2 linked regions of the Saccharomyces cerevisiae S288C genome follow. The protein of the gene in region 2 binds, or shares a complex with, the protein of the main gene of each other region. Each region holds a gene or a part of one and is shown on either strand. Other genes may lie near its edges. The genes, in order: PET112 and GTF1. A codon is read from its position in the direction of its gene.

Evidence for each region.
Region 1: the proteins of GTF1 (region 2) and PET112 are in contact, whole or in part, in a crystal structure (PDB 4N0I), measured with the Saccharomyces cerevisiae proteins. Residues at the interface, in NP_011616.3 of Saccharomyces cerevisiae: Arg79 (codon at 1,846), Leu80 (codon at 1,849), Ser81 (codon at 1,852), Gly82 (codon at 1,855), Thr130 (codon at 1,999), Lys131 (codon at 2,002), Gln132 (codon at 2,005), Leu133 (codon at 2,008), Asn134 (codon at 2,011), Tyr135 (codon at 2,014), Leu138 (codon at 2,023), Gly141 (codon at 2,032), Ile142 (codon at 2,035), Gln145 (codon at 2,044), Lys146 (codon at 2,047), Gln147 (codon at 2,050), Ala149 (codon at 2,056), Glu150 (codon at 2,059), Leu151 (codon at 2,062), Gly152 (codon at 2,065), Glu153 (codon at 2,068), Ser155 (codon at 2,074), Gly156 (codon at 2,077), Trp158 (codon at 2,083), Ala160 (codon at 2,089), Thr161 (codon at 2,092), Leu163 (codon at 2,098), Lys168 (codon at 2,113), Ala170 (codon at 2,119), Tyr171 (codon at 2,122); in NP_009473.2 of Saccharomyces cerevisiae: Asn43 (codon at 7,609), Ser47 (codon at 7,597), Gln48 (codon at 7,594), Ser49 (codon at 7,591), Thr50 (codon at 7,588), Pro60 (codon at 7,558), Asn61 (codon at 7,555), His62 (codon at 7,552), His63 (codon at 7,549), Thr64 (codon at 7,546), Ser65 (codon at 7,543), Tyr66 (codon at 7,540), Ile69 (codon at 7,531), Leu71 (codon at 7,525), Leu78 (codon at 7,504), Asn79 (codon at 7,501), Leu80 (codon at 7,498), Glu81 (codon at 7,495), Ile83 (codon at 7,489), Leu84 (codon at 7,486), Phe109 (codon at 7,411), Gly111 (codon at 7,405), His163 (codon at 7,249), Val171 (codon at 7,225), Ile172 (codon at 7,222), Thr173 (codon at 7,219), Leu174 (codon at 7,216), Val175 (codon at 7,213), Asp176 (codon at 7,210), Leu177 (codon at 7,207).

The regions. Positions count from the first base shown.
Region 1 is NC_001134.8:66,961-83,720, forward strand, and holds PET112 (glutamyl-tRNA(Gln) amidotransferase subunit PET112), read right to left. Parts: upstream 7,736-16,760; coding exon 6,110-7,735; downstream 1-6,109. Other genes in the region: anaphase promoting complex subunit CDC27, read right to left, coding at 209-2,485; ALG3 (dolichyl-P-Man:Man(5)GlcNAc(2)-PP-dolichol alpha-1,3-mannosyltransferase), read right to left, coding at 2,791-4,167; YBL081W (uncharacterized protein), read left to right, coding at 4,906-6,012; NUP170 (Nup170p), read left to right, coding at 8,299-12,807; ubiquitin-like protein ATG8, read right to left, coding at 13,418-13,771; isoleucine--tRNA ligase ILS1, read right to left, coding at 14,083-16,760. UniProt on the Saccharomyces cerevisiae protein: Allows the formation of correctly charged Gln-tRNA(Gln) through the transamidation of misacylated Glu-tRNA(Gln) in the mitochondria. The reaction takes place in the presence of glutamine and ATP through an activated gamma-phospho-Glu-tRNA(Gln).
Region 2 is NC_001139.9:680,187-696,746, reverse strand, and holds GTF1 (glutamyl-tRNA(Gln) amidotransferase subunit F), read left to right. Parts: upstream 1-1,611; coding exon 1,612-2,163; downstream 2,164-16,560. Other genes in the region: mRNA-binding ribosome synthesis protein NOP7, read right to left, coding at 1-1,330; rhomboid protease PCP1, read right to left, coding at 2,344-3,384; GTPase-activating protein MDR1, read right to left, coding at 3,650-6,502; TEL2 (Tel2p), read right to left, coding at 6,782-8,848; ESP1 (separase), read left to right, coding at 9,289-14,181; ASK10 (Ask10p), read right to left, coding at 14,612-16,560. UniProt on the Saccharomyces cerevisiae protein: Allows the formation of correctly charged Gln-tRNA(Gln) through the transamidation of misacylated Glu-tRNA(Gln) in the mitochondria. The reaction takes place in the presence of glutamine and ATP through an activated gamma-phospho-Glu-tRNA(Gln).

The sequences.
Region 1 (16,760 bases), on a different chromosome or scaffold from region 2:
AGAAGTACATCGCAGGAACCGCAGACATGATGTCCTCTTCTTTCAAATTACTGGATATATATATTATTATTATTGTTACCATTAACGTTATTATTATTAACTATTACTATTACATTAACTTAAAAATAAATATGAAACAACGAAGAACAAAAAGAATTATGAAAACATTTAACATGTTTCAATTTGTTATGTTTTGGCCAACCTGCGTTTATTCTTGCATATGACATTTTTGTAATTCATCGATGATAACTTGGTTACCCTTTGGATCCAAATTCATAGCAACAGTTAGCTCCTTGATTGCATCTTTTTTCCTCCCAACTATTCTATATGTTTGACCCAGCAAATAATGGGCTGTGGCATCATCAGGAACGAGTTTCACCAATTCTTCAAAAGTTTGCAAAGCAACATTATATCTTGTCATGGAATAGAGCAACTGGCCCATCTTATATTTGGATAGCGAGGAAGTCGGTTGCAAATGACATGCTAGTTCATAATATTGTAGAGCCTTTTCCTTATAGCCCAGCTTTTCTAAAGAACCACCGCAACAACAGATTAACACAACATTGACGGGATTAATTGACCTTGCCTTTTCAAAATATAACAACGCTTCTTCATATTGACCTAATTTCATAGCGCTCGTACCCAATCCGTAATATGCATTGTAATGCTGAGGATCACAAGCTAGCGCCTTTCTATAGCATGTCTTGGCAGAATCCGAAGAATCGTTGGAAGAATGTTCATGACCTTGCAAAGTATACGCGTATGCAAAATTTGGGTCTAACTGAGTAGCTTTTTCGAAGGCTTTTATTGCGGCATCATGATCCTTTTGCAATGATAGCAAATTACCTATACAACACCATGTTTCGGGCTTATTAGGCATTGTATCCATTAGCCCATTTGCCAAATTTGAAGATTTAACCTTGTCATGCAAATGCCACAGCAAAGTAGAAAAAATTTCCATATCTTTTACCCTTGCCGGTTGTAGGTCTTTCAATCTATTGAAATACTTTAAGGACATATCATAATTAATGATCTCAAAATGAAGTTTTCCTAATTGCACTAGACACCATGGCATTGTGTCTTTAATATGAGATGGGATTTGAGACTCGAACAGTCTTATTGCCTTGAACGAATTGTATTGTGATGACGACCTTAATATTAAAGCGAAATTATACATGATTTCAGGCAGCGTAATTGAATAATCACTCGTTAGTATTGAGTTACTGATTATTAAAGACCTTGGATTTTTCTTGGAAGTTGTTAACCTTCCTGTTGAGGAATATAGGTTTCTTGGAGTTTTGAAAGTTGTTTTATTTATAATGTTATTATTATTATTATTATTATTATTATTATTATTATTATTATTATTATTATTATTATTATTATTGTTATTTTGGTGGTTCCTATCGTTATTTAACAGTTTCGATGGAGGAGTCGTTAAAAGTTTGTTTCTGTTATAAACTTTGGCCAACGAGCTTATTGTAGGCTGTTTGGAGGATGGAGACACTAAGTTCATGGAAATGTTATTTGGTAGCGCAGAAGACGTCTTACTGTTGATTGCAGGGTTTTTAGGAGTTTGAGTATTTTTGTTCTGGCAGGTCCTTATTGATGTGTTCGCTTGTTGCTGCTGTGACCTTGAGAAATGCTGAATGGAAGAAAAAGAAGATGCCGATGTAGAAGGGGGAGAATTAGACGACTGAAACAGTGTATTAACATTATTATTGATATTATTATTGCCGTTTTTGTTTGTTTTTGAATATAAGCTAGGTTGTGAACGAGGTTCGAAATGCGATAGTGATGTAGACGGAAACGATGAAGCTGCATTATTATTATGACTATTACTTTTTTTCCCTGCAATGTCGAAAAAAACCCTCTTGAGATCCACGGTAGCTCTCATTTTACAAATCGCTTCGTAAGATTCCCAAAGGTAAGGATTAATGGCTAATGCTTCAGAATGATAAAATGCTCCCTCCTTAGAATGGTCCAGTTTCATATAAAGATTGCCTAACAGGCAATTCAAAGTGGCCAAATCGGGAATATGGACGAGATTAGAATTCAACACCATATTTATGCGCGTATTACTGCTGTTCGAAGAAAATACATTTATTATTGAGAGAAGAGTGAGGATAGCTTCGTTAACTCCCTGCGAAAGCTGTAAAGCACAACGCCCGAATATGTAAGCGATACCAAGATGATACTCCTTGAATTCTTTGGATATCTGGAACGCAGTGTGGTAGCTTTTATTCAGAAACAGCGAAAGTGCATATAAATATACCGCATCGGACCAGTAAACACTTGATTTATCGAGAATGGAGCATTCAGCATAGAGCAGTTCGGCCAAAAACTCTGCGGTACTGTAGTTCAACTGCTGAATAGCCTGCTGAATGCAGTCCTGAAGCTGTATGATGGTGCTCAAAGCTTGATCATCAAAGCTGGGGATTCCTCTCGAGAGGGTGAACGGTGCTAACTCAGGATTTACCGCCATGCTATTTTTATTATGTATCCTGCACGAAAAGTTCGTGTCGATTTATGAATAGATATGCAGTCACCAAAACAGAGTCTAAAACTCTCACAGCTAGGTATGGTTTTTTGATAAACTTTTCTGTGGCACCTTTGCTTGCACTTTGATCCTTTTGGTTTACTTTCAGCCTGTTCCATCCTTTTGATCAAAAAAAAAAAGGAAAATCAAGCGCGGGTAATAACGGCACCATTAAATACTAGTAGTACTATATAGATGGTATAAAGAAATGATTTAAAACAATACGATTATATGATATTTATACATCTGTTTCAGTTGAGCTTTTTTTCCATAGAGCTGGTGGTACGAAGATGGCTTTTGGCGAGGGCGACCGAACCAGATAGCTGCGTCAAGGCCAATAGAAGCAACAGAACAGTATTCAATGCCAACAATAGCGTGCTTGCTTGTGAGTTTGGTGGATAGGAATTCCAGCACCACTCGTGCAAGACGTACCAAATGGGACCAACGAAGAAGGGCATTCCCGACCAAAAGATCAGTATAGGCAAAGTCCAGTGATACCAGGATAGAAACTGGTAGTGGAGGGACCTTGAAAATAGGACGCCGATGAAGTTGGATGCGATTAGAACGAATGGAATAGTCTTGGCGGGATTGGCATTGAGCACTGCATTTTTCCTCAGCGGATGGCACAGGGAAGACCATAAATCGGGCAGGATGCGAGGGTATCTTGTGACGAACAGTGTGGTGAGCGCTATCAGGTGGCTGATTAAAAGGGCCAAGTGGAACCTCTTATCATTGAAAGCCTCTTCATCCATCATTTGCCAATTGATACTCCATTGGTACATAAACTTCCTGCCGAAATTAAAAGCGCAATGCAGGTACTGTTGCGGAAAGCTGCGCAGGAAGGGCACTGCAACTGCGACTTGCCATGCAATCATCGCAACGAGATCCAACAAAGTAAGGATTACGTTCGCGTCATTAAGGATGAATAGAGAAATCATCATTGCAGGGAAATACAACAGCGCATTCATCTTAATGCTCACAGCCATACTGTATGTTGCGGAGATCACCAGCGCAAGGGACTTCTTTAATTTGGGGCGCTGATGGCACCTGCTGGCCACGATAGCCCCCAAAACCGTGACGACCATAAACAAAGTAGTGAAGCAATCATTGAATAACCGTAGCACGTAAATAGAGTGCAATCTTTTAGAGAGGCACGCCAAGACCACACACCACGGTGGTAGATGTAAAAGGTAGTAACACGCCATTTGTAACGCCAGTGTAAGGAGATACAAGTATCTGAAAAACACTTGCCCGCGCTCAACGTGGTCCATTCCCTCTGTTAGCCAGTACATCATCTTGTAGATCAAGACGTGGCCTGCTGGATACACCAGCGGGCCCGTTCCACCACTCACCTGAGAGTAGTCCAGCATGCCATCGAGCTGAATCATCTCGATCTGCTCCATGTACGCCTTGTAATCGATCTCTGTGTAAGCTACCTTCTTAATGATAATCTTGCACAGCATGCTTTCGAACAAAATCAAAAGGGGCATAACGATAAGATTGGCCCTACAATCGAAGATCACGTAGCGCACACCGTCCTTGAGATCCTGCCACAGATCCAGCGGAGGTCTGACAAATTGCTTCCTTTGCAGAGACTTTTCACCTTGCGGAGACTGTTCACCTTCCATACTACTAGTATCTAACTCTTTCTCTCTCCCATACACACTCTATGATACTGTTTTCACTCCCAACTAGTGTACTGCGTTGTTCTTTAAGTTCGATAGCGAAATTTCTTTAGCTTGTTTACAGCACCCAGCAACCGCACACAGAATGTGACGGCAAATGCATTTTACATGGAAGGCTATCTACAAAACAGCAATAAAGAGTCATGTAAGATTGGGAAATCTCTAATGTGACATTCCATACTTGTTGCAACAATTTTGGGATGCTTCTGCGTCGTACGACCCTGTATTTACCTTCTCTAGCTCATCGCTTCCCAGGGTCCACGTTAATTTTTCAATTTTTTCTTGCGTGTCGAAGATTCAGGTCTCGAGAAATTTGTCAAAAATTTTTCACTAGATATTAAGAACTATATACATCGAATAAGATGCCAGCACAGAAGAGATAGGCAATCAGTTTAGATACTACAGACACTATCCAATAGTGCAAAGCAAAAGCAGCATAGAAAAAAGAGAATCCCGTTTCCAGCTTTTTCTCTTTTTCCCATTCGTTTTTCCTGATCTTTTTTTCTGCATCGTGGCACCTAGAACAAGAGGTACCTTCCATCCTTCGCTTAATATTTGATACGACTTTTTTGATTTCCATTATTATTATTTGTTACTATTATTATTTATCATTTGGGTTTCGGTTTTTTGTAATAATTTTCTTTTTTTTTTTTGGCTCTATTTCACTAAGACATCGTATATATGCCAGGCCAGATAATCAGCATTCCGTTTTTGTCGCAGAACGAGGACATGGATAAATACTTGTTGGAGTACCGCAGTTTGAAGCTCCTTCATCAGTCCAGTAATTCCTTCCAGTCTCACAATGCGCCCTCCCACCAGTCGAACTACCACCCCCATTACAATCACATGAAATACAACAACACTGGTAGCTATTACTATTACAACAACAACAATAACAGCAGTGTAAACCCACATAACCAAGCTGGTCTACAATCCATTAACAGATCTATTCCATCGGCCCCGTACGGGGCTTACAACCAGAACAGAGCTAATGACGTACCATATATGAATACCCAAAAGAAACACCACAGATTTAGCGCTAACAATAATTTGAACCAGCAAAAATACAAGCAATATCCCCAGTATACGTCCAATCCAATGGTTACTGCACATCTGAAGCAAACGTACCCTCAACTGTACTACAATAGCAACGTCAATGCTCACAACAACAACAACAACAGCAACAACAACAACAACAACAACAACAACAGCAACAACAACAACAATCTTTACAACCAGACGCAGTTCTCCACGAGGTACTTCAACTCGAACTCCTCTCCCTCGTTGACTTCTTCCACTTCTAACTCATCCTCTCCATACAACCAAAGCACCTTCGAATACATTTTGCCGTCAACTTCGGCAGCTTCCACAAATTTATCGTCGTCATCATCAAACAACTCTATGCACACCAACCCAACCACTGCAACATCGACATCCGCCGATTTAATCAATGATTTACCCGTGGGCCCCACGTCCAGTTCGCTTATCTCGGATCTACATTCTCCACCAACTGTATCTTTCCTACCAGCAAGCCAAACCCTGCTCATGTCCTCCACCACATCTAGCTCTATTGGCACCAACATAAACCCACCGCAACATTCACCATCCCCATCGCAAAGGGAGGATTTTTCGACGGCACCAGTGAACATGTCTTCGTCCGCATCACTCTTGATGAATGATTCTTCTTTAGGATGGGGGTCTAACCACATGAACGTATCTTCATCCTCTCAACCAGCATCATCAAGACCCTTTGGCATTTGGAATACTGACATGAGCGTTTGGAGTTGAGATGTTTACGTATATTTTTATGTATATTATTATCATTAGTATTACTATTATTGTTATTATTTATGCACGGTTCCTATTTACACGCGGCGTTTATATTTTACCATTGAATATTTAAGATCTCTTTGAATTTTTTCTCGAATTCGTTTGCCTTTATACGTCCCTGGCTTCGTCTCATTCCTTGTCCAATTAGGAATTTTAAAGAGGACTTCTTTTTACCAGTAACCAGGTTCCGTATAAAAGTGTCATCTGTGTGCTGTGCAATGACATCATTACAGAGATCCATCAATTCTTGAGGGTCGACCTGATTAATCGCATGCAATTCAAATTTCTCGATTAGTTTTGAAAAATCTGGAATAGACAAATCTTGGCAGTTACTCTGCTCGAAATTTTCCAATATGTGAAACAGTAACATTTTACCACTAGTTGCGGATATAACCTCTTCATGCAATAACTTCAAAAACTGGGCGAAAACCGGAGGAGGCAAAATTTCTTTTGCTTTGGCCAATGGAATTTGTAGCTTGTTCAAATCTCCCAAGAATTCATGGATTATCCAATTCGTAGGTAATTTCGCGTTACTACGTTCACCAGCAAGCTTGGAAAATTCACGGAAGGTGTCTAAGTAGTACGATCTCAACGCCTCATGATTGTACATATCGTTTTGGTTACTATTATAAGTCAGAATCTTGGCGTCCTTCAATGATAATTGATAGGGTTTCTTCATAAGAATTCTCATTATATCGTCCGGTAATTGGGGCATCAACCCTCTCACACCACTGATAACGTCTGGTGCGAGGTTGATATACGGCAATTCTGGATCAGGCATGTACCTGTAATCGATCGTGGTTTCTTTGCTTCTCAACTTCACCGTTGATGAGCCTGTCCAGCCCCTTGTTTCTGGCTCCATCAGTGAGCTAGTGTCACCCACAGAAATCAACTCAACTTGCCGCTGATATTCGTACTTGATTGCATTGATGATGGAACTAGTATTGGGTAAATTCTTCAACTCAACGCGTGCATATTCATTAATTGAGAGGTTAACGTCCACTCGCATGGCGCCCGTTTCCAGGTCCCCAGAGGAAATGTGCAAATGACGTACCAAATTCTGATATTTTTTAATAAACGCTCTAACCTGTTTAATATCACTGAAATCTGGTTTAGTTACCAATTCGATAAGCGGGACGTTCGACCTATTTAAATCAACCAAAGTAATAACGTCTTTATCTGTCTCTGTATAGTGTGACTTCCCCGTGTCCTGCTCTATCTGCAACTGTAAGATACCGATTTCCTTGGCTGATTCATCGATATCATCCAATTCCTTCGACAGATTGATCTTCCCACCCCGAGCAAACGGCCTGTAGTGCTGCGTCAGTTGATAGCCTTGAGGTTGATCTCCATAAAAATAATGCTTCCTATCAAACTGAGATATGCTATTCACTTGAGAACCCAGTGCCAAGGATAGTTTCATGGCAAACAAGATTGCTTCCAGATTCAAAACCGGCTGCGTTCCCGGTAGAGCTATGTCATAATAACTAGTATGATGGTTTGGTGCATCCACTAGAGATGTGGCGCTATTCGTTGATTGTGAAAAAAGCTTGTTTTTGGTGTTCAATTGCGTATGAATCTCCAATCCACACTTCAATGCATATTCCGGCCTGAAGGGTGCACCGTGACTATGTATGGCTTTGGTTCTGGCCAAAGAATAAAAACGTGCAAGCCGCAACATATCTAGTTCCTACTCTGGTCTTTTTGGACAGGAATGCTAACAATAACACTATTACTAGGTGGTACGACTAAGTACATCACGTCAAGCTTATTACTACTATAACTACTATTATCATAACAAAAGGGAAAACTAAACCCTATCTAAACAAGGGTTATTTAAATTTTTAACAAGGGCATACAACAAAAAAATAATAAACCTAAAATCAGAAAGTTAATCTTTCAGGGCTTTTGAAAGTGGAATTAACGTCTCTAGTAAACGAGGATTGTTTCCAATGAGATTCTAAGACCCAAATATCCTCTTCTTTACTTTGAAATGTTTGCAATGGACCATGATTATGGATGTGTTCTTTGTGACACGCTTTCAATGTACTCTATATCGTGTTGCACGAAGGATTGTTACTTTATTTGTAAAAAAAAAAACAATTTTTCGAGATGGGACATTAATATTGTAGAATTCTGAACATATTAGTGAACAGTTCTTTCGGAGAATTACTGGAACCTAGGATCTGACAAGCGGACAAAAAAGCAGAGTGCGTTTATTACTTCTCTTTCTAGCGGTTGTTCATGTTTCAAAGTTTTTTCCACAACAATGGGCCCGCTGCTGCCGGTGAAACGTTTTCAGATAGCAGATCGTACCCTTTAACGAATCATCAAGAAGTACCCAGGAATGGACTGAATGAGTTGGCCTCATCTGCAACCAAGGCGCAACAACAACCTACACACATATTAAACTCATATCCAATTACCGGGTCCAACCCACTCATGAGGGCAAGCGCAATGGGGGCGACCTCTGGCAGCATCAATCCTAATATGTCCAACATGAATGAGCACATTCGTGTTTCCGGGATGGGGACTTCTAAGCCCCTGGACTTAGCGGGAAAGTACATTGACCATCTACAACATAAAGATAGTAACACTCCCGTACTCGACGAACGATCTTATTATAACAGCGGGGTAGATTATAACTTCAGCAGAGAAAAAAACGGCTTAGGAGCGTTTACTCCATTTGAAAAGCAAGATGTGTTCAACATTCCGGACGAGATTTTGCATGAATTTTCCACTTCACAGACAAAAACTGATATGGGTATTTTCCCGGAGTTAAATCGATGTTGGATAACTATTGATAATAAACTGATACTCTGGAATATTAACAATGACAATGAGTATCAGGTGGTAGATGATATGAAGCATACCATTCAAAAAGTCGCCTTGGTAAGACCTAAGCCAAACACCTTTGTGCCTGCCGTGAAGCATCTACTTTTGATAAGCACGACAATGGAGCTTTTCATGTTTGCTATTTCCTTAGACAAAGCCACCAACGAACTCAGTGTATTCAATACACATCTATCAGTCCCTGTACAAGGCATTGATGTAATAGACATTGTGTCTCATGAAAGATCGGGTAGAATTTTCTTCGCAGGCCAAGCCAGTGGCCTGAATATCTGGGAGTTGCACTACTCAGGTTCCGATGACTGGTTCAATAGTAAATGTAGTAAGGTCTGTCTGACAAAGTCTGCCCTATTAAGTCTTCTACCTACTAACATGTTATCGCAGATTCCAGGTGTTGATTTTATTCAGGCTTTGTTCGAAGATAATTCTAACGGTAATGGCGGATTTTCTCAAGAGACCATCACGCAACTAACTATTGACCAACAAAGAGGAATCATCTATTCATTATCCTCCAAATCCACCATTAGAGCATACGTAATAACAGAAAAATCACTGGAAGGACCCATGTCAATTGAGCCTGCCTACATCAGTAGGATCATAGGTACCACGACGGCAAGGGCAGCACCGATTTTGGGCCCCAAATACCTAAAAATTGTCAAGATAAGCTCTGTTGCACCAGAAGAAAACAACAATTTGTTTTTAGTTGCTTTAACAGTAGGTGGTGTGCGTTTGTACTTTAATGGTTCCATGGGCAGATTTAACATCGAAGCTTTGAGGTTAGAATCGATCAAGTTCCCCCCTAGTTCTGTAACTCCTGAAGTCATCCAACAAGAATTACTACATCAACAACAGGAACAGGCGAAGAGAAGCTTTCCTTTCTTTTCAAATCTAATGTCTTCCGAACCAGTCCTCTTAAAATTCCAAAAGAAATCATCTGTATTACTAGAGACTACAAAAGCAAGTACAATTATTTCCCCAGGCATATTTTTTTCCGCTGTGATCAAGTCATCTCAGCAAACTCATCAACAAGAAAAAAAAGAGAACTCATCTGTTACTGGAACGACCGCTACCGCAGGGTCTAAAACTGTCAAACAACAGCCAGTTACTTTACAACATAAGCTTTTCGTTAGTGTTCCAGATTATGGTATCTTGAAAACACACGGTAAGTACGTTGAAAATGCCACGTTTTTGGAAACTGCGGGCCCAGTTCAACAAATTATTCCCTTATCGGGGTTGTTTAATGCAACGACAAAGCCACAAGGATTTGCTAACGAATTTGCGACACAGTACACATCAGAAACTTTAAGGGTAGCAGTTTTGACGAGCACTTCTATCGAAATTTATAAATATCGTACTCCTGATGAAATTTTTGAGGATCTAATCGATAATCCGCTGCCATTCGTCTTAAATTATGGTGCCGCGGAAGCTTGTTCCACTGCATTGTTTGTTACTTGCAAATCAAATAAATCTGAAAAATTAAGATCTAATGCCCTGACTTTTTTAACTATGGGTATTCCTGGCGTTGTTGACATCAAACCTGTCTACAACCGTTATTCTGTATCTACAGTATCCTCTTTATTGTCAAAGCCCACTTTATCAACCGCAACAACTAATCTCCAACAATCAATAACTGGCTTTAGTAAACCCTCCCCTGCAAACAAGGAAGATTTTGACTTAGATGACGTAATATTATCCCCCAGATTTTACGGTATTGCATTATTGATTACCAGACTACTTCGAGATATTTGGGGGAGACATGTCTTCATGACTTTTACAGATAATAGGGTGACATCCCATGCTTTCATTTCTTCTTCTGATCCAATCACTCCATCTATTAATAACCTAAAAAGTGATGAAATTTCACAAAATAGGAACATAATATCAAAGGTTTCTATTTCCAAGGATTGTATCGAGTACTATCTATCTTCAATTAACATTTTAAATGAATTTTTCATCACTTATGGTGATTCAATTTCCCAAATATCAGCTCCCTACGTATTAGCGAACAATTCTAACGGCAGGGTTATTGATAAAACAGAAGAAGTTGCAAACCAAGCGGAAAGTATAGCGATTAATGCGATGATCAAAATGGTACAGTCCATAAAGGAAGGTCTATCATTCTTGAACGTTTTATACGAGGAAAGCGAAGTCGAAGGATTCGACAACCAATACCTTGGTTTCAAGGATATAATCAGTTTTGTAAGCTTGGACGTCCAAAAAGATTTAGTCAAACTAGATTTTAAAGATTTATTTGCTCCAAATGACAAAACAAAATCATTAATTAGAGAAATTTTATTATCCATCATCAATAGGAATATCACCAAAGGTGCGTCGATAGAGTATACCGCAACAGCTTTACAAGAACGCTGTGGATCATTCTGCTCTGCAAGTGATATATTAGGATTTAGAGCCATTGAACATCTTAGAAGGGCTAAAGAAATTGGCTTGCGTAACTATGATTCTCTAAACTATCACCTGAAAAATGCTACTGCTTTACTTGAACAAATTGTGGATGATCTTTCTATCGAGAAATTGAAAGAAGCTGTATCAATGATGCTGAGTGTAAATTATTACCCAAAATCTATTGAATTCTTATTGAATATTGCCAACTCTATGGACAAAGGCAAACTAGCTTGTCAATATGTGGCAAATGGATTTTTAGAAAATGATGATAGGAAACAATATTACGACAAACGTATCTTAGTTTATGACCTAGTTTTTGATACTTTAATAAAAGTAGACGAACTTGCCGAAAAAAAACAGTCATCAAAAACTCAAAACCAAATTTCGATATCGAATGACGATGAAGTGAAACTGAGACAAAAAAGTTATGAAGCCGCCCTAAAATATAACGATAGATTATTCCACTATCATATGTATGATTGGCTTGTGTCTCAGAACAGAGAGGAAAAACTATTAGATATTGAAACTCCATTCATACTCCCTTATTTAATGGAAAAGGCAGGTAGTTCATTGAAGATATCTAATATACTCTGGGTCTATTATTCAAGAAGATCTAAATTTTTCGAATCTGCTGAAATTCTTTACCGTTTAGCTACATCGAATTTTGACATCACATTGTTTGAAAGAATTGAGTTTCTTTCACGCGCCAATGGTTTTTGCAACAGTGTGTCACCATTAAGCCAGAAACAAAGAATTGTACAATTAGCTAGTAGGATCCAAGATGCATGTGAAGTTGCTGGTATTCAAGGTGATATATTGTCGCTCGTGTATACAGACGCAAGAATAGATTCAGCCATTAAAGATGAGCTGATCAAAACTCTAGATGGTAAAATATTGAGCACAAGTGAGCTGTTTAATGATTTTGCTGTACCCTTAAGTTACCATGAAATTGCCCTATTCATTTTCAAGATAGCAGATTTTAGGGACCATGAAGTAATTATGGCCAAGTGGGATGAGCTATTCCAATCTTTGAGGATGGAATTTAATAATACCGGAAAGAAAGAAGATTCAATGAACTTCATCAACTTACTGTCTAATGTACTGATTAAAATTGGTAAAAATGTTCAGGATTCTGAATTCATTTTCCCCATTTTCGAACTCTTTCCCATTGTCTGTAATTTTTTCTACGAAACACTACCTAAGGAACATATTGTATCAGGGTCGATAGTTTCTATATTCATAACAGCGGGTGTTTCTTTCAACAAAATGTACTATATTTTAAAAGAACTAATCGAGACATCAGATTCCGATAATTCCGTATTTAATAAAGAAATGACCTGGTTAATTCACGAATGGTACAAATCGGACAGGAAATTTAGGGACATTATTTCCTACAACGATATCATTCACTTGAAGGAATACAAAATTGATAATGATCCAATTGAAAAGTACGTTAAGAACAGCGGCAATAATTTGGGGATTTGTTTCTACAAAGAATAAAAATTCATGTTCGACATATAGATAGCAGGGTAATGTACGTGTATATTTTAATGTAATAAAGAGGCCTTACTAGACGGTAAAGTTAAGAATATCGAGTGAACTTTTCCTTAAGATAAAGGTAAATATAGTCGAGTATTTATTTATTATTCTTTTCCACTATACAGTATTTAAAATTCTGTAAGAAATTGATTCTACATACATAAGACAAACGAACAGGTCAGAGAGAATCAGATTTTTGGTTAGCAAGAATACATTTTGGAGAAGAAAGACATTAACTCCACCTTACTGTATCATCTTATTTGCTTTTTCACTCCTTCCTAATATTTTTTTTATTTTATTTTGAATTTCTTCCTATTTCTGATGCATTGAACAGATCGTAATCTGTAAGTAAATACCATAACGTGCTCACATTTGTCTCCAAATACTGGTGAAATCTTGGCTCCGTTGTGTACAAAACTTCTTAATGAATATATATATATTTTTCCCTTATTTTATCTTTTTTTTTCGAATTTTTTATGTAAACATTCTTATACTGGAACAATAGATGGCTAATGAGTCCCTATAATTTCGATTTTAGATGTTAACGCTTCATTTCTTTTCATATAAAAGACTACCTGCCAAATGTATTTTCTCCTGAGTAAGTGACATACAAAAACCCGTCCTTATCCTTGTGTTCTTGATATATGGCAGACATCAACGCCGCAGTAGGTGGCAAAGTATCATTGACAAAAATGAAGATGGCCTTCTCAGGGGGTAGCATAATTCTCTTTCTTATAACATAAACAAATTGCCCTACGGTAAGGTCAGCAGGAACTAGATATTTACGCTTATCAATCTCTGGAATATCTGACTTTTCAGCTTTTTCGCAAATCACAGGTATCCTATTCTTGAACCTGTCAGCAATCCTCTCCGACTCCGCCTTCCTTTTTTCAAATGGATATTCAGACTTAAATGTAGACTTCATGTCTCTAGTAATTATTTTATTATGATTTTCTCAACTTTACAATTATTAGATTCTCTTATCAATCCCCTCCTCAACCTTTAATGGTTCCCCTTTTTGTATTTCCATAATTATACCAAATATTTTTGCCGCCGCCGAAAATAACCGGCCTCCGGGTGATGATATATCATGTGCTATGATTTCACGGGTATTATACAACATTATCGGTGGAGACAGTTAGCATTACATGACTCTAACTTAAACGTAAACTTACACATATACATCTATATCACTTCGAGTAGAGAAAAATTTGTACGTATTTATATGAGTTGTTTTCATAATTTGAACACTTTTAATTTGAAAATGGTGTCATTAATAGATTGTTCTTCATCACCAATTGGGTCTGTCTTTGAGCCGTCATATTTGGCAATGTCGGATCTACAGGTCTTGCTTAACATATCAAAATGTTCTTTGACAATGGCTTCAAAGTCGATAGTATCTTTAACTAATTCGTACTCCACTAAAACATCGTCGGTGGCTTCCAAACCACACTTCTTTCTCAATTTTTGGATTCTGTTGACCAGCTCTCTTGCGAGACCTTCACTCTTTAGTTCAGAGTAAATATTTGTATCCATGATGATTAACACGTCTTGGTCGGTTCTGGTTTCTTGTCCAGCTTGGACAGCAGATTCTGGCAAGCCTCTAATAGCATTCAAATCTCCTTTAACCAGTTCAATACCGGCAACCTCCAACTTTCCGCTTTCCAAATATTCCCGTACTTGCTCAGAAGTGACTGATGGTAGGGCATCTTTAACCTTCTTTGCGTCTTTTTTCAACTTCTTACCCAATACAGGCCAATCAGCAACTGCTTTATACTCAACACCATATTTTGCCTCATCGGAGGTGATAACAACATCACGAACATTTAATTCCTCGATAATGTAGTTTTTCAAGGCTTCTACATCCTTCAAGTATGATTCATCACTGTGAAGGATGACCAAAGTCTTCAATGGAGTTTTTAAGGAAATAGTTTTCTTTTCACGAATGTTTCTACCCAAATCGATAACGGATTGCATTCTAGAAACTGCAGTTTCGATGGCCTCGTCAAAGTATTCTTTCTTGACCACTGGGTAAGATAAGAAATGGACTGATCTTCCGTCCTTACCGTATTTTGCTAAGACAGCTTCTGGGATGTATTCCTTCAGTCTCAAATAAATGCTTTCTGACAAAAATGGGGTGAATGGAGCCATGGCACGGACAAATGTGAATAAGGCATCGAATAAAGAATTTAATGCTTTCAAACAGTCCTCAACACCGTTTTCACCCTTCAAACGACGACGATTAAATCTAATATACCAGTTTGTCAATTCATCAATGAAATTCAAAAGTTTTGGAACGACAGTGTATAATTTGTACTGACCCATTTCTTCGTGAATGAATTGTACTAGAGATTGCATAGAAGCTAAAATCCATCTGTCCATGACATTATCACTTTTCACAGAATCATCATATTGGAAGTCGATGTTAGACATCTTTTTCAACAAGGCAATTTGACCGTCCAAAAATTTAAAGGAGTTCCACCATGGTAGTAAGACCTTTGAAACAACCTCCTTAACACCCTCTTCTTTGAATTTCAAACTTTCAGCTTTTAAAACAGGTGAGTTTATCAAGTACAATCTTAATGCATCCGCACCATATTTGTTCAGAACAATGGATGGATCAGGGTAATTTTTCAAGGATTTAGACATCTTTCTACCATCGGCAGCTAAGACAATACCAGAGACGATGACGTTCTTGTATGGAACAGAGCCAAATAGATGGGTACCTAAGACAGCTAACGTGTAGAACCAACCTCTTGTTTGATCCAAACCTTCAGAGATGAAATTAGCTGGAACTCTTTCGTCAAATTTTTCTGTGTTTTCAAATGGATAATGTTGAGAAGCATAAGGCATAGAACCAGATTCAAACCAACAATCAAAAACTTCTTCAATTCTCTTTAAGTCACCCTTACCTTGCTTGGATGGAATTGTCAATTTGTCAATGACATCACGATGCAAGTCAGTGATGTTACGCACACCGGTCAATTCTTCCAATTCTTTGATAGAACCAACACAGACGACCTCCTCAAAATCGTCTGAAACCCATAAAGGAATTGGAGTACCCCAATATCTATTTCTGGAAACGTTCCAGTCACGGGCATTGGCGATCCAGTTGGCGAACCTCTTTTCCTTGATGGTGTTAGGAACCCAGTGAGATTTCATCACAGAATCCAACATTTGAGGGACAATGTTTTTAACACGAACGAACCAAGCTGGAACAGAACGGTATAACAATGGGGTATCGGATCTCCAACAGAATGGATAGGAATGGCGAATTTGGGATGCCAATAACAAATTTCCAGTATTAGTTAAGTACTTAATAATCAACTTATCAGCGTCCTTGACATAAACACCCTCAAAATCAGGAACGTCTTTCGTGAATCTACCAAGGTCATCAATGGCGTTAGGTAACACTGAATCTTCGGATATGACGCCGTTCTTCAAACAAGCAGCATTATCCTCTTCACCGAAAGCGGGAGCGTTATGAACAATACCAGTACCGGAATCACTAGTAACATAATCATCTGAAATAACTCTAAAAGCTGTTTCATGGAACTGTTCAGCGAAATATGGGAACAATGGTTCATACTTCAAACCAACCAAATCAGAACCTTTAATTTTTTCCACAATCTTATATTTTTCATTCTTAGGCTTCTTATACAAGGTTTTAATCAAAGATTCTAATAAGATGAAATAACGATCTCTGGTTTCGTCGTAAATCTTTACATATTCGAAATCAGCGTTAACACATAACGACAAATTGGAAGGTAAAGTCCATGGAGTCGTAGTCCATGCGACCAATTGAGTTTTTTCCTGGCCAATAACATTGAAACCAATGGTCACAGCTGGGTCGTTAACATCTTTATAGTTTTGCTGAGCTTCAAAGTTACTCAAGGGAGTGGTTAGGCCAGTAG
Region 2 (16,560 bases):
CAGGTACCAATTCGCCTTTATTGATACAATCAAATATCCACTGTGGCTGAATATACGTTCTGCCAGCTACCTTGTTTTTCAAAACTGGCCTGTCAACAATTTGATGAGTGACCTTGGACATGTCAATATCCTTCTTATTTTCAATTTGGTCCATAGCAGCTTCACTGATGACATTACCACCACAAGATAAGATCAAGAACTCAAGAATATCGATCGGAACTTCTCTGCTAACGTAAAAAACAAATGCAGAAAACAAAGAAGCAACAGGAGAATCGTACTTACTTGGCTGTATTAAGATGTCACCCTTGTTCTTATTGTTATCCTCGAAAGTATCTAGTTCCGTTTCCTCATTTTGTTCCTTTTCTTGTTCCTTTTCTTGTTTCTTTTCTTGTTCTTCCTCCTTTTCTGTTTCATCAGTATTTGCCTCATCGGCATTCAAGGCAGACTTTAATGTCGATGCGTCCAAACTTTCAACTTTTACGTCTTCCTCAATCTCAGTTGGGTCAAGTTTTAGTAGGCTGTCTTCTTGTCTGGATTCTAGAATATATGATGACAAACCACTTATGATTTTATCCTTTTTAAGATCCAATTTTGGCGGATAAATCAACCCACTATCGGTGTATAACTTATATAGGACGAAATGCAATAGAGTCGAGTAGAATTCTAAGAAGGTCAACATAATTCTGAAATCAACGTCACTGGGGATGTTTTCTGGAAACTTGAATGGAACTAACCATCTAACTTCTTCACCCTTAATATTGGCTTGATAATAAACACCTTTAATGGATACAAACACTTTACGAACCAAGCGTTCCTTGGCAACATAGGCTAACCATTGATTACAGATTTTCTGAGCATCATTGATAATTTTCGAGGAAACCTGGTTGGTAGAGGGCAAATTAGAGAAAAGAAATAACATATTCAAAGCATCATCAATATCCCTTATAGCATCTGGGAAACTTGGATAACGCTCCTTGATAATATGGTCTAAAGTATAACTATCTCTGTTTTCCTCTAACCTTTTAGCAGAAGAGACTTCTCCCCTACCCAAAGCCCTTGTTAGTTTCCTAGCAAAAGTCTTGTGTTCTCTAAATTTAGCCAAAACGGGCTCATGCATTAGATATTGAATATCCTTAGCATAGTAAAAAGTAGTTGGTGCAGTAGAGCCCTTGTTTGCCTTCTTTTTATTTCTTGGCTCTCTAGGATAGATACCTTTGAATATACATAATCTTCTGAAATCAGCAAGAGAAACCTGTAATTTTCTCACAGCTTGAGATCTGGTAATAAAGTTTCTTGCGTTACCTCTGGTGTTTTTCTTCTTGATTCTCATTGTATAAGTAGGATACCGCTGTTACTATACTATTTTCTACAGGAATAAAATGTATTCCACCAGCAGGATTTACTACACATCTCTAATTAACCTTCCAAAATTTTTCATTTTTTCTCATCTCATCTCATCGCAAAAAATTTTCTTTAATTTTTTCAGGCAATAATAATAGTCACCACAGACGACATGACATTATTCTGTAAATATAACATCAAGGAGGTAATAGTGACTAGCATTTAGGCTTTTAGATCGAACTATTTGCACTTACCCATAGTGCTAGAACGATGTACAAAACATGGCGTCTATGCAGAACACATACAGTGGGTGGGTTATGCCATGATGGAAGTCATCGGTTCGTATCTACGGGAGGGGCAAAGATTGGTAAAAAATTTGAAAATATGAATCAAATAAGGGATTATTTATCAAGACCTGTATGGTCCGTCCACGAATATTTAGGCATAAACACTAAAGAGGAAAAACTAGAGCCACCGTCTGCTGAAGCTGTAAAAAAATTGTTGCGGTTATCAGGTCTTCCCTTGGAAGGAGCAGATATTAAAGAAATTCAAATGCGACTTGCCAAGCAATTATCATTCATCAACAAACTCCATAACATACCTGTCGAAGGTGAAAAGCACACCAAGGAATATGATGCTCGGTTGGTGCAAAGAAATACGAAACAGCTGAACTACACAAAGCTACTTGAAGGCATCAGCCACCAAAAGCAGGATGCTGAGCTAGGAGAAGTTAGCGGATCTTGGAAAGCAACTGGACTTGCCGCGGAATCCAAAAATGCATATTTTGTTGTCAAAGAGGGACTACTCAAAAACAGGAAGTAAGACTTAGAAAAGTAACACATACGCTCTATTCTATATATTCTTTTGCCTATGAATTTTCTTGTACATGTACCACCACGATAAGGCTGAAATATTTTTCAAATGCATAAATAAGATTAAGTACATAGAAGACATAGCAGTATTTACAATATTTCGAATGAGAATGTGTCTTTTTTTAAGTGATTAAAACCACCTACCAGCAGCCTGAAGGCGACGCTGCCTTTGTTTCTCTACAGCTTTACTTATATACCATCCGTACAAGACCCCCATCATAGAGCCACCTAAATGCGCAGCGTAATCAAATGACCCCCATCTTAAAGCACAACCAGCTGCATTCCATGCCACTGAAGCCAAGAATGCTACCCAAGCCCCACCTGGGACTGGGAAAACAAACAGCAAAATTTTAGCGTGTGGGAATAGATATGAAAAACATCCTAAAACCCCAAATAGCGCTCCACTGGCACCCAAGCTAGGTCCGACAATGGCTAGGCGTGCCAGTTTTGGATACCATAACGAAAACAAAGAACCTGCAATGGCACTATTCATATATAAGGAGAAAAAATTGGATGCTCCCAACATTGTTGCGAGTGAAGTACCAAAGGACCACAACGCTAGCATGTTCATACCTAAGTGCCAGAATTCTTGATGTGAAAACGCACTTCCGATTATCGAAATTTTGCTAGTTACGTAATCCTTTTGCAGCAACATGTACTTCTGTAGAAACCTCCAGCATTTGGGTAGCTGCCATAGTCCAAATACGGCAACATTGATGCCTAATAACGCGTATACCAGATTCTTTGGATGCGTCTTAAAATACGTAAAGGGTGGAACGTGCTCGAACAAATAAGGGGAGCCAAAATATATTCCTGCCATTAAAGAGAGCCCCAAAATAGTCATAGAGCCCAGAGGATTGCCGCCGCTTCTCTGCTGCTGGTACTGCTGAAACCTGTTCAAACGTACGTATCGATTAGTAGTTTCTTCATTGAATATAGGCTTCCACCTTGATTTCAAAATTGATGTTTGAGAAAAGAACCGTTTCGGTATAATTTTCTGAAGATTTGTGACATTGTCCTCTAAGTTGGGAGCATTTTTGAGTATCGACGTGCTCTGGGATCTTCCAATATATGATACAAAAGTCCTCGAAGGTGAAACCGAAATATTACTGCGGAAAAAAATTCTTGTAGCAGGTCGAAGACCGAGCATAACAGAGCTTACACCTGACATGTTCACACTTGGGCAATTTATTACTTTTCACTGTCTGTATATGTCAGTTGCGAAAGCTGTACCCTTTTCAGTCGTGATTGCCACCTTTTCTATTTCACCGCCAATTATACTTCCAGACAAGAATTTAGGCTTTTTTCGCTCCGAAAATCCGCATTTATGAGAGTTATATGAGGGATCTTCACCAAATCCTGGCAAATATTGCTTTAAATATCTATATAAACACGTACAGATGTTTTAGGGTGACATAAAATTGATAAGCACGATTTCATGCTTCAAATTCAATAAGGTTGGACTTCTCTTCCGAGGAATTTGCCGACAAAGGCTCAAAAGACCTTTCTTGTATGGCTTTAGTGCTAGTTTCATTGGCATCGTCGATCTCAAACCAGGAACTTTGTAATAACTCTTCATTCTCGGGTTGATGCTCTGACGTGAAATCATCTAGATCATCGTACTTTTCTTCTTTGGTAGTTATTGAACTTGCAGCGGCTGTTGGCGTACTCTCTACAGAAGCAATGCTGCTCCTAGTTGCCACCGAATCGACACGACGACGAACTTGCTCAGCAACTCTTTTGCCGTCTGCCAATATACCGTCAAACATACTTCTGAGGACTTTATTTTTGTTATCAATGTTGACATGTTCGTCGACGTGAACAGATGATCGTAAAGTATTAGAAAAGAAAAGCTCGTAAGTTTCATCTGCGAGGATGATCATTCTAAATGTTGGCAAATCTATTACTTTTGGATGGGTGGGATCTAGGGCTGCATTTGCCTTTATGCTTTCCAGTTGTTTTTGTTTTACCGTTCGCTTTTCTTCGCCTTCATCATCAGACAAGTCAATCAAGTTTACCTCCTCCGCGAGATCAACTGCTTTAGCATATTCAAAAGATCTTTGTAGGAAATTGCTTGCAGCTTTTAGGTATCTTTCTGCTTGTTCAACTTTATATTTTTCCTCATCAATAGTAACCCCAGTTGGTAACTCGATTTGGTTCATAGTGGCTATCTCTCCACCGCTTTCCTTGATGATGTTTTCAGCAATATCATCTTCAATGCGCTTTTTAGTTAACAGATCTACATATCTACCGCTCTTCCAAGGTTCCGTTAGCAGTAGCAGCCCTTCCGACAACTGTAGCACTTCTTCTCTATGCAATTCACCATCGCCATCTGTATCATATAAAGAGAAAAAATAGTTTATAGCTTGTAAAAGATCAACAGTTACCAGTTTATCCAAGCCTGTTACCACATCGTTCAATGTCAACTCGCCGATATGAGCAGAATCCCAGTTATCAAATAACCTTTGCAGAAAATTCCTTTTTTGTTTCCGGAAAGCTGGATCTTTGTCCTTTTCACACGGTCTACAGGAGTCACAGAATTTACTCAAGAACTGAATGAATACTTCGAAACCCATATTAGATGATCCCGTTCCCATACTAATTTTGTAGGTTTCTATACTTTGGTAAAACATGTCATAGATATTGGACAAGTCATCACTGGACAGGTTGAAAGTTTTTGGCATATGGCGCAGTTGCGTTCTTTTCATGAAAGTCTCAATGTTTTGAAAAATACCTTTCTCATATTTGTGTCTTGCATGCATTGCCATTTCCTCGCTGATGACACTAAACTCTTTGAAAGCCGTAACTAACAGCTCTTGAAATTTCGTGATTTGTCTATATTTTATATCGCTTGAATCTGGGTGAGCACTTTGTCCCAGAGTTTGGAAATAGTGCTTAATTATGGCAATGAACATTCCATCATCATCGGCTTGTAAGATATCATCTGCATTTATCTTCAGAACTGCTAATGCCACCTGAAATAGAGTAATAGAACCGTTCATAAAAAAAATATCCATTATTCTAACAGCATATTCTAGAGGCATTGAAGTGAAAAACAAAGACAAAAACCAAGGTAAAGACACCACAGATAGTTGAATATCATGCTGTAAAATGTATTCCCAAAGAACCGGCATTCTGTCCTCTACAAAAGACTCGAACACTCGTTGGTCTAACAATGTACCGTACATCGTCTTTGAGTAATAACCTGGAACATAGATGTCACATAGATTACACAAGCACCAAAAAGCCTGCTCTTCAGACATAAAGATTAAAAATCCTGCAACAACTATATTCATGGCCTGGCAATATCCAACATCAGGGTTCTTCCACGAATAAGCTGTCAGAACATTTCTCAACCTTTGAATACCTTCTTCAGTCTGGTATGCTGAGTATTCGGGCAGCGATCTCTTCAAATCCTTCTCAATTTCGTCGATAGCTTGCGATGTTTTACCAGCATTCTCGTTTAATATCCTTTCGTACTCCCCAGAATTTGCATAACGCATATACATTGCACCTGAACATAGTTCCCAAATTTCACCTCTCATTCGATTTGGAACACCGATTCTGATTAACTTTCGGAACATAGGAGTTTGCACAACTGCCAAATTCCTTCCATTCTCTCTGAAATAATCGAACCATAGCCTCAATTTAGCCTTTTCTTTTACCATAGTAGGATTACCGGGATACTTGAAATGTTGTCCTAGACCTGCCCTGGGTACAGTTATGTCCTTTTTACCTAGAATATTTTTAGCAATTAAGAACTCCGAATATGAGGTTTCTAGAAAAGCAGGTAAAGTTTTGGCATTAGGAATATTTTCTTTCAAATTTAGTTTCAATTTGTCACAAAACTGCTCCGATCTATAACGTATACCGATAAATTGAATCAGAACCTTTGCTCCTGTGTACAAAGTTACTAGAAGAGCAAATTCATATGATTCGGATGGCGACCTCTCTACACGTTTAATGGTAGAAATATTCAGTATTAGTACGCACGATGAATGATCAAATGCATCTCGAAATACCAGAAAATGAGGTGTTAAAAACAATCTCCCGGAATACACATAAGCAGTTTTTCTCCCTTTATTGTTCACTCTATCAGAATGCCCTTTTCCATCTTTAATGGAAGTTGCAAATGAAACTTCTGCATTCGTATCTTCCAAAATGTTTTCATTAGCTGGAAGTTTATATTTTAATCTGAATTTCTCATCTCTGGTTAATGTTGGAGTGAAACTGTCTGCCAGTTTATCCAAAAAGGGTGCCTTTTGACGTAAAGAATCAAAAAATGACATATCCTATCCTTTAACTAATAATTGTATCAACTCTGAGGTTGTTCGGTGCTTTAATTGATGGATCAGTGCTTTCAAAATGTACAATTTCTTAAATGTTGTTGGGCCCTTACCAAGCAGATTTGTTCAGGCCTTTTCTTATTGAAGTTCTTTTTCCCAGTTGCAGGAGTCGGCCGACCTTCTGAAATAATATGCTGTGCATTAAATACTAACGACGCTGACAGAGAACGCACTAAATTTATTCAAATATGTATCATAAGATTGGTACAAATAACTATGCTACTAACCTTTATTGAGAGAAATTCCTTCCTCTATGGCTGAACTAATTATATGATTCATCAACTCCGTCATGGATTCAAAATCGTGGACCGGGTTAGCGCAAGAGTATATGATACGCAGTGTTGTTAAATAATGCGACTTAAAAAGCTGATTGTATGTGCCTACGTCAATTCCATTAAGCCAACCGTGTGCTAGCGGATAGAAGAATAGACCAGCATATTTTCTAAAGCGGTTTTGCGTTCCTTTTTCTCGATCCTTGCCTAGTTTTCTAGATTTCCATACTGTTTTCGTCTTCTTTATCATACTTGTTGACTCTTGAACTTCAACAAGCCTACTATTATGATGGCTTTGATCATCCCACGGTAAACGATTTGTTGGAAAATCAAACTTGGGCTTGACAATAGTAGGATCATCAAGCCCTCTCAACTCTCTTGCAGAAAGACCCAGAGCCGACAATAGTGACATCCTTTGCTGTAACGACAGTTCTGAATTGAATAGAATATTTATAGCGCCATTCACCTTCTCTGGAAGGACGACCAGTATGCTTGTTAGAGCGTTTATTCTCCACTGCTCGAAAAGCGGTTCATCAAATTCATTATTCAAGCACACAATGCTTGACAGAATACCTTGTGCATAATAGCCAACCTCTAACTGAAAATCCGCCTTTTGCCGTATCAATTTCACTGTTTGCTTCAGAAGTGGTATCAATGGAGCTTTTCGAGATTCCCCAGTTTTTTCGTATTCTTTCATTAAATCTTTTAAAAATACAATTCGTTTAACAATCTCCCGCTCATCGTTCTCATCTTCATCATCGCTATCACTGCAGTCCAATGTAAGGCTTTGAACATGACCCGAGACCTCAGTAATCTTATCCTTACCCACATCAGTTTGGGTATTGCATATGGATGGATTTTTTAAAGATTGGAAATCAATGATTTTATCATCGCTATTGCTTTCGAATTTGACATTCGGTATATTGATTTTAAAATCACTTTCGTACTTCAGATGACCGCCTGATAAAAGCTTGGCAATAAACATCGCACGCTCCCTTGCCTCACGTTCATTGCTACCTAAATGTTTGGTCACGCCATTCAAAAACCGCTCATCGTGTGCTATTTCCTCTCTCTGGGAATGATTGAGATTGTGCACTGCAAAGAGTACAAGCAATTCACATGTCTTTGTGTCTACTTCCTCATCTGTAAAATCAGCAAATTTACTTACCAAAGCGCTAACAAACTTCGTGGAAGAGTGGTTGCTCATCAGACGTACTATCACTTCCTTCAATGGCAGCGACTGTATTTCAAATAATACGGACAGACTTATGATTTTATCGAGATCAAACCGCCGCAGAATTTTCCTAACATCGTTCAAATTTTCTAAAGTCACGATAACTTGAATATATGGTAATAAAAACTTAGCAATCAGCCTCTTTTGATCTATCAGACTACTAGCAGATATGATTTTCTGAAAAGAAAAGAAATACGACTCTTTCAATAAAAATAATTCGCCTAATAACATATCTGCCGCTAGCACTGGGTTAAGCAAAAATGATGAAACTAACCATTCCCCTAAAAACCCAGGTGGATCTGTTTCATTACTCTCAAGTAGAAATTTCCACTGAAGCCGAAGGTATCCCAAATATTTCGCCATATCAATTCGGTTGGCCAACACATTAAATAACTTGCTCCCAAAGAAAAGGGCCTTAATGCTATCACGGTCTGCTTTGCTAGTAGTGCTTGCCTTTAAATAAAAAGTCAAACATCCCGGTTCAAAACTGATGATGTCTTCTAAAATTTCTTGGTATATGCGTATCTCTTGCAGTCCATCGCGGCCACTTATTGTCCTTGAGAAGGTGACAATTTGGCATAAAAATGTAAACGATTTAGAAGCTAGCCGTCTCAATATCACCTTCGATCTTTCTGGTAGTGATGGATAAACTGGAATTACGAATTTTATGAGAACCATCGAGGCATCTAGATCCACCGGTTCGCGAGGATAGGAATCTAGTTGTATTAAAGCTTCATGTATTTGACTGCTGTCAAGCCCTTGTTTCAGCGTTTCTAAAACCATTTCATGAGGAATTAAATGCGTATAAAGTAGCTCGATTCACGTTCTATTAGCGGCAACCTGTCCACAAGTACTTATTGTCTGCATTTCTTGGTGTTTGTTTTTATTTTCTTTCTTTTCAAACTTCACGGGTCTTTACAGAAAAGAGGTAAACAAACAAAAACAAGAACATGGATACAAAGCCCATCCACGTAACATTGCGCATTTGAAGCGAGAAGCTTACCACAATTAGTTAAATTCCTTTTGGAGGAATATAGACACTCTATCATCAGAAACATCCGAATTATTTTAGTTAGGACACGTTTCACAGGAGCATCTGGCTATAGCATATTTTTCTTTTCCTTCTAACTGCGAGCATAGTAAAAAGTTGACCTAAACCCAACATTTTTGAGGCTAACCTAGTAATAATTTAACCTAGGCACGAAGTGCTTATAAATTAAGGAATGATGGTAAAACAGGAGGAACCGCTGAATGAGATTAGTCCGAATACTCCGATGACTAGCAAGTCCTACCTTTTAAACGACACGCTTTCGAAAGTACATCATAGTGGCCAAACTAGACCACTGACCTCGGTGTTGTCTGGAGACGCCTCATCCAATTCTATTGGCATACTAGCAATGCATAATAACATAATACGTGACTTTACAAAAATTGCAAGCAATAACATAGACTTAGCCATTGAGGATATTACCACTGTTGACCATTCATTAAATTCAATATATAGCCTATTGAAGAGCCATCACATGTGGGGCCATATAAACTCCACTGTTAAACAACATTTGATGATAATTGTTAAACTAATAAATAATAACGCATTAGGATTGGCCTCCTCTGAAATTATTTTTCTTTTCAATGAAACGAATTTATTTCAAGCTCATAGTCTGAAAAACATTCTTCTAGCAGACTTCAGTACGTGGAACGACTACTATCTTTCAAATCTGAAAATATTAGCGCTGCAGATTATACTGAAAAGAAAGCTAGTAGACGAATACTTACCGCATATATTAGAACTATTTTCCCATGATAAAAGATATCTTTTGAAAGACCCTAACCTCAAAGCTCACGCTCTCACAAAAATCGTGCTGAGCTTTTTTTCTGTCACGACGAGTTGCAAAGTTCTATTCGGGCTAAAATTTCTACAATATATCAAACAGTTCAAATTACCTTTTAAAAAGTTCATTAGCAACATTACCGTCGAGTGTTTTAGCAAAAACCTTCTTCATAAAAATTATTTGGAGATGGGACCTAATAAAATATATTTAAATTCATTTTACTTATCCTATTCCATGCTGTACGATGGATTGGATAAAATAATGCTTCTAGACATTTTAAGTTACGAAGAAACTACTGAGGTACAAAGAGCGATAAAAAGTAAAAAAGAATTCAATGAATACTGCAACATGAGTGAAAACCGTCTTCTCTGGTCCTGTATATCTGTCGATGATTTGAACGTAATACTCGAAAATGCAACGAATTTTCTACAAAATAAAGGGAAACATATATCCGCAACATTAAAATGTTTAGTCTGTCTTTGGTCTACTATTCGCCTAGAGGGATTACCTAAAAATAAGGATATATTGAGGCAGTTTGATTGTACTGTTATTTATATCAACTCAAATATTAAATCCATTAATGACGAATCTGCGGCGGCATTATTATCCGAACTTCTGGGAGTTTTATCAGAAATTTGTATCGATTATAAAGAGCCTAAACGACTGTCAAATATTATCAGTGTCCTTTTCAATGCTTCTGTTTTATTTAAGAGTCATTCGTTTTTGTTAAAGACTGCTAATTTGGAAATCTCAAATGTTTTAATCAGTAATGATTCAAAAACATCTCATCGTACTATACTGAAATTTGAAAAATTTATATCTAGTGCTCAGAGTGCCCAGAAAAAAATTGAAATCTTTTCCTGTTTGTTCAATGTATATTGCATGCTACGAAATGATACGCTATCATTTGTTTTTGACTTTTGCCAAAATGCATTCATTCATTGCTTTACACGCCTAAAAATCACAAAATTCATCGAGTTTTCAAACAGTTCAGAAATTATGCTTTCAGTACTGTATGGAAATTCATCTATCGAAAACATTCCTTCCGAAAATTGGTCACAACTAAGCAGAATGATATTTTGCTCACTGAGGGGTATCTTTGATTTGGATCCTTTAGAGCTAAATAATACGTTTGATAAATTACACTTGCTCAACAAATATGAGCTATTAATACGAATAGTGTACCTATTGAACCTGGACATGAGTAAACACCTGACAACGAATCTATCGAAAATAACTAAGCTGTACATAAACAAATGGCTACAAAAATCAGATGAAAAGGCCGAGAGAATATCGTCATTTGAAATGGACTTCGTTAAAATGCTATTGTGCTACTTGAACTTTAATAATTTTGATAAGTTATCCATTGAACTTTCACTCTGTATTAAATCAAAAGAAAAGTATTACTCCAGTATTGTGCCTTATGCCGACAATTATTTGCTAGAGGCTTATCTGAGCTTATATATGATTGATGATGCCCTCATGATGAAGAATCAACTACAAAAAACAATGAATTTATCAACGGCGAAAATAGAGCAGGCGTTATTACATGCAAGTTCTTTAATAAATGTCCACTTGTGGGACTCTGACTTGACAGCGTTTCAAATATATTTTGGAAAAACACTGCCTGCTATGAAGCCTGAATTATTTGATATCAATAACGACCACAACCTACCCATGTCACTTTACATCAAAGTCATACTTTTGAACATAAAAATTTTTAATGAAAGCGCGAAATTAAATATTAAAGCTGGTAATGTTATATCCGCAGTAATTGATTGTAGAAAAGCACAAAATTTAGCATTATCGTTGCTCAAAAAGAAGAACAAATTGTCACAAGGATCCAGGCTAGCATTACTAAAAAGTCTATCGTTTAGTTTTTTCCAACTCATTAAAATACATATACGCATTGGTTCTGCCAGAGACTGTGAGTTCTACAGTAAAGAACTGTCTAGAATTATTTCTGACTTAGAGGAACCTATTATCGTCTACAGATGTCTGCATTTTCTTCACAGATACTATATGATTACAGAGCAAACCTGTCTTCAAAATATAACTTTGGGAAAAGCCAATAAGGCATTTGATTATCTTGATGCTGAGGCAGACATTACAAGTTTGACAATGTTTCTGTATGATAATAAGGAATTTGTAAAGTTAGAGCAGTCGTTGGTCCTATATTTCGGTGACCAGCTAGAAAAAACATTCCTACCTAATTTGTGGAAGCTTCACTTGGGTAAGGATATTGACGACAGCATTTGTCTGTCCGAATATATGCCCAAAAATGTAATCAATAGAGTACACAATATGTGGCAAAAAGTAATGAGCCAATTGGAGGAAGATCCTTTCTTCAAAGGTATGTTTGAATCTACCCTTGGGATTCCCTCTTCTCTGCCTGTTATTCCTAGCACGATGCCCAACAACATTTTAAAAACTCCTTCCAAGCATAGTACAGGATTGAAGCTTTGCGATTCACCAAGATCGTCGAGCATGACGCCTAGAGGTAAGAATATAAGACAGAAATTTGATAGAATTGCTGCTATTAGTAAATTAAAACAGATGAAAGAACTTTTGGAGAGTTTGAAACTAGACACATTAGATAATCACGAACTGTCCAAAATTTCCTCCCTTTCTTCATTAACTCTGACTATCCTTTCAAACATAACTAGTATCCATAATGCTGAGAGTAGTTTGATAACTAATTTTTCGCTAACTGACTTGCCAAGGCATATGCCTTTGTTATTCGATAAGGTATTGAATAATATTGATAATAAAAATTACCGAGAATTTCGCGTTTCATCACTAATAGCTCCGAACAATATATCCACAATTACAGAGAGTATTAGAGTATCTGCCGCCCAGAAGGACTTAATGGAGAGCAACCTTAATATTAATGTTATAACTATTGACTTCTGTCCCATAACTGGAAATTTACTTCTATCCAAATTAGAACCGCGACGTAAGAGAAGGACGCATTTAAGGCTACCGCTAATACGATCTAATTCAAGAGACCTCGACGAAGTTCATCTCTCATTTCCGGAGGCTACAAAAAAACTACTTTCTATTATCAATGAAAGCAACCAAACGACGTCAGTGGAAGTTACCAACAAGATTAAAACAAGAGAAGAAAGAAAATCTTGGTGGACCACAAGATATGATTTGGATAAAAGAATGCAACAATTGTTGAATAACATTGAAAATAGTTGGTTCAATGGCGTTCAAGGGTTTTTTAGCCCTGAAGTAGTCGACAACTCGTTATTTGAAAAATTTAAAGATAAATTTTACGAAATTCTGCATCAAAATCTTCCTTCCAGAAAACTCTATGGCAATCCGGCAATGTTTATAAAAGTTGAAGATTGGGTAATCGAATTGTTCTTGAAACTTAATCCGCAAGAAATCGATTTTCTTTCGAAGATGGAAGACCTGATATACTTTGTTCTTGATATTCTTCTCTTCCATGGTGAAGAAAATGCTTACGACGAAATTGATTTCAGCATGCTTCACGTGCAGTTAGAAGAGCAAATAAAGAAATATAGGGCAACTATGACAACTAATAGTATATTTCATACATTTTTAGTCGTTAGCAGTTCATGCCATTTATTCCCTTGGGAGTGTCTTTCATTTTTGAAAGATTTGTCTATCACACGTGTTCCGTCCTATGTTTGTCTGAATAAACTTTTATCGCGTTTCCATTACCAACTACCCCTTCAAGTAACTATTGAGGACAACATTAGTATGATATTAAATCCGAACGGAGATTTGTCCAGGACTGAATCTAAATTCAAGGGTATGTTCCAAAAAATAATCGATGCAAAACCTTCCTCTCAATTAGTGATGAACGAGAAGCCGGAAGAGGAAACACTTTTGAAAATGCTGCAAAATTCTAACTTATTCGTTTATATAGGGCATGGCGGAGGTGAACAATATGTAAGGAGTAAGGAGATTAAGAAATGCACCAAAATTGCCCCCAGCTTTTTACTGGGCTGCTCTTCAGCAGCGATGAAATATTACGGCAAGTTAGAACCTACTGGAACAATCTATACTTATTTGCTGGGAGGATGCCCTATGGTACTAGGTAATCTGTGGGATGTAACTGACAAAGATATTGATAAATTTAGCGAGGAACTTTTTGAAAAGATGGGATTTCGCTGTAATACTGACGATTTGAATGGTAATAGCCTATCTGTTTCATATGCCGTCTCTAAATCTAGAGGTGTATGCCATCTACGTTACTTGAACGGCGCAGCTCCTGTTATTTATGGGTTACCGATCAAGTTCGTATCATAATTGTTACATGTACTGGCTGTTTCGAAAAGATTTCATATAGGCATTGAGAAAAAGCATGGGAAATCCGATTTTGTTCTTATATCCAAAAATAATAAGTAAAAGAACCTGGGATTGATAAAAAAGTTTCATCTTTTTAGTATAGTTCATAATAGTAATTTTCATTTCATTATTGGGCACCTCATGGTGCGATACAAATATTTTAAGATTGCTTATATAATCACGAACACCTTTACGTACCATCCCAAACTACCACACAGTTGTTAGTTCACATACCATTGACACAAAGTCATAGCAGGAATTAAAAACACGAAACATCTATATTCTATAGGAGTTGCATTATAAAAATATGAATAAAAAACGGTGCTTAGAAAATAAACGGCGAACCATACAGGCTGTTTCTCAAAAGAGAACAAAAGTTAAGGCGTAACAATTAAGAATAAATCGACTGGTTTAGCTTTATAGTATCATTATTAGTTGAATCACCATCATCTTCTTGAATTCCACCACTCATAAATTGGTTAGTCATTAGATTACCACCGTGATTTGCACCCTTTTTTGAAAACATTAAACTATTCAAAGAACTAAATGATACGTTTTTCTTGTGCTTTCGGATAGGATGCACCCTAGAAGCTGTTGAACTAGAGGTAGTCAAATTTTGGGCGCTATTATTGCCCCGTTTATAGAAAGCAGGGTGCGCATGAGTCTTTTCAGCAGTCAAACAAGGAACATTGCCTGTGCTGTTCGTTTTCTTTAAGGTTTGGTATGGTGATTCGCGGTTGATCGTTGTGACGGACGAATTCATGGTAGGTGAAGAAGGTGCTGTAGCAGACTGATCGGCAGCAACAGTTTTAACATTTTGGTTATTGACCATCACCTTAGGTACAACGGGAGCGTTCGCTGTAATTGAATTACCTGCAGATGTACTTCTCATCGCTGTGACATTAACACTTGAACTTGAAGTTCTTGATAAAGGTTGCATTTGTAAAGGTTGCTGTTGTTGTCGTATTTGGTCGTCATTATAACATGGGCTAGAGCCTTCAGAGTTTCTCTGGGTGTAATTATTATTGTTGTTGTTCCCATGAAGCGGAATGGCAAAATAACCGCCTGAGCTGGATTCTGAATTAGAGCTACCTGGAGAATTCACTGGTAGGGATAGGGATGTGTATGAAAATCCAGGTAGGGAACTTGTTTGTGAAATATTTCTTTGGTGGCGCAAATTAGTTGTTGGATTAGTATTATTATTTGCTGTTGATTGTTGGAGCATCATCCCATTACTCGTTATTGATACAGCCGGGTTATACCCATTATACATGCTTTGAGGTCTTGAGCCCGATGAATAAGAAGGAGTTGTGTTACCTGAAGTGGCCATGTAGTCAGAGTATTGGTGCGGAGATTGTGCAGGTCTTCTTTCCACCGTAATCAAATTGCCATAATCGTCAATAGCAGGTGTATTAACCTTGGATCTAAAACCATTTCCATCAAAATCTGCTAGTGAATTGTTCTGAATATGAATATACTGAGGTTTCTCCGCCCTGCCCTTTAGGTTGACGGACGTCGTAGTACCGTCTTGTAATGTGAATGTGCTATCTGTTAAACAAGGTGTATGGGAACCTATGTTCACGCTGTTTCTTGACATATGTCCCGCCTTGAATCGGTGTGATTTCATCACACGGTCTTCGATAAACTTAATTCTATCTTTAGTGTCATTGAAGCTCGTTAAATTTTTCAAATCTTGGACCCAACGTTTAAAATGTTTCAATTCCTCTTCAGAAGGCTCTGGAGATACTATTTTAAAGGTCCAAGTCACATAATTGTTCGATTCCTTTTGAGCTGCAGCGTAAAATTGGTCCAGTTCACTTGATTTCGTATTCTTATTTTTGGGCTTACTTCCCTTCAAAAACTTGTGGAATGGGGCTTTTGAAAATATTTTTGCAGTCTCGTGGCCATATTTTGGTAAAGACGCTTGTGAAGAGCCAGATAAATAAGTGCTAGAGCTAGATTTTCTAACATCAGCGTTTTCATTAAGAGTGGGTTTACCTACAAGAACAAATTTGGTGGAAGATGCATCCTTTAAGGTACAATCATTTAGCGGAATACTCATAATCGGTGCCAAATAGCTCTTTTTGCGAATACCGCGAATACCATTTGCACCAGCTGTACCACCAGTTGTCGTACTGCTGTTATGTACATCACTAGCCTGGCGATGATGATTGTTAGCTTTGGCATTATTAGCATTGGCATAAGTGTCTGCAATGGAAACGGAAGAAGAATAAGCTGAAGACTTCGTGGAGTTAGGGGTAGAAGAAGATAGGTTATAAAAATCGCTACTCTGGAATTCATGAATATAGTTTGATGTTAGAACAAAATATCCTTGGTGGT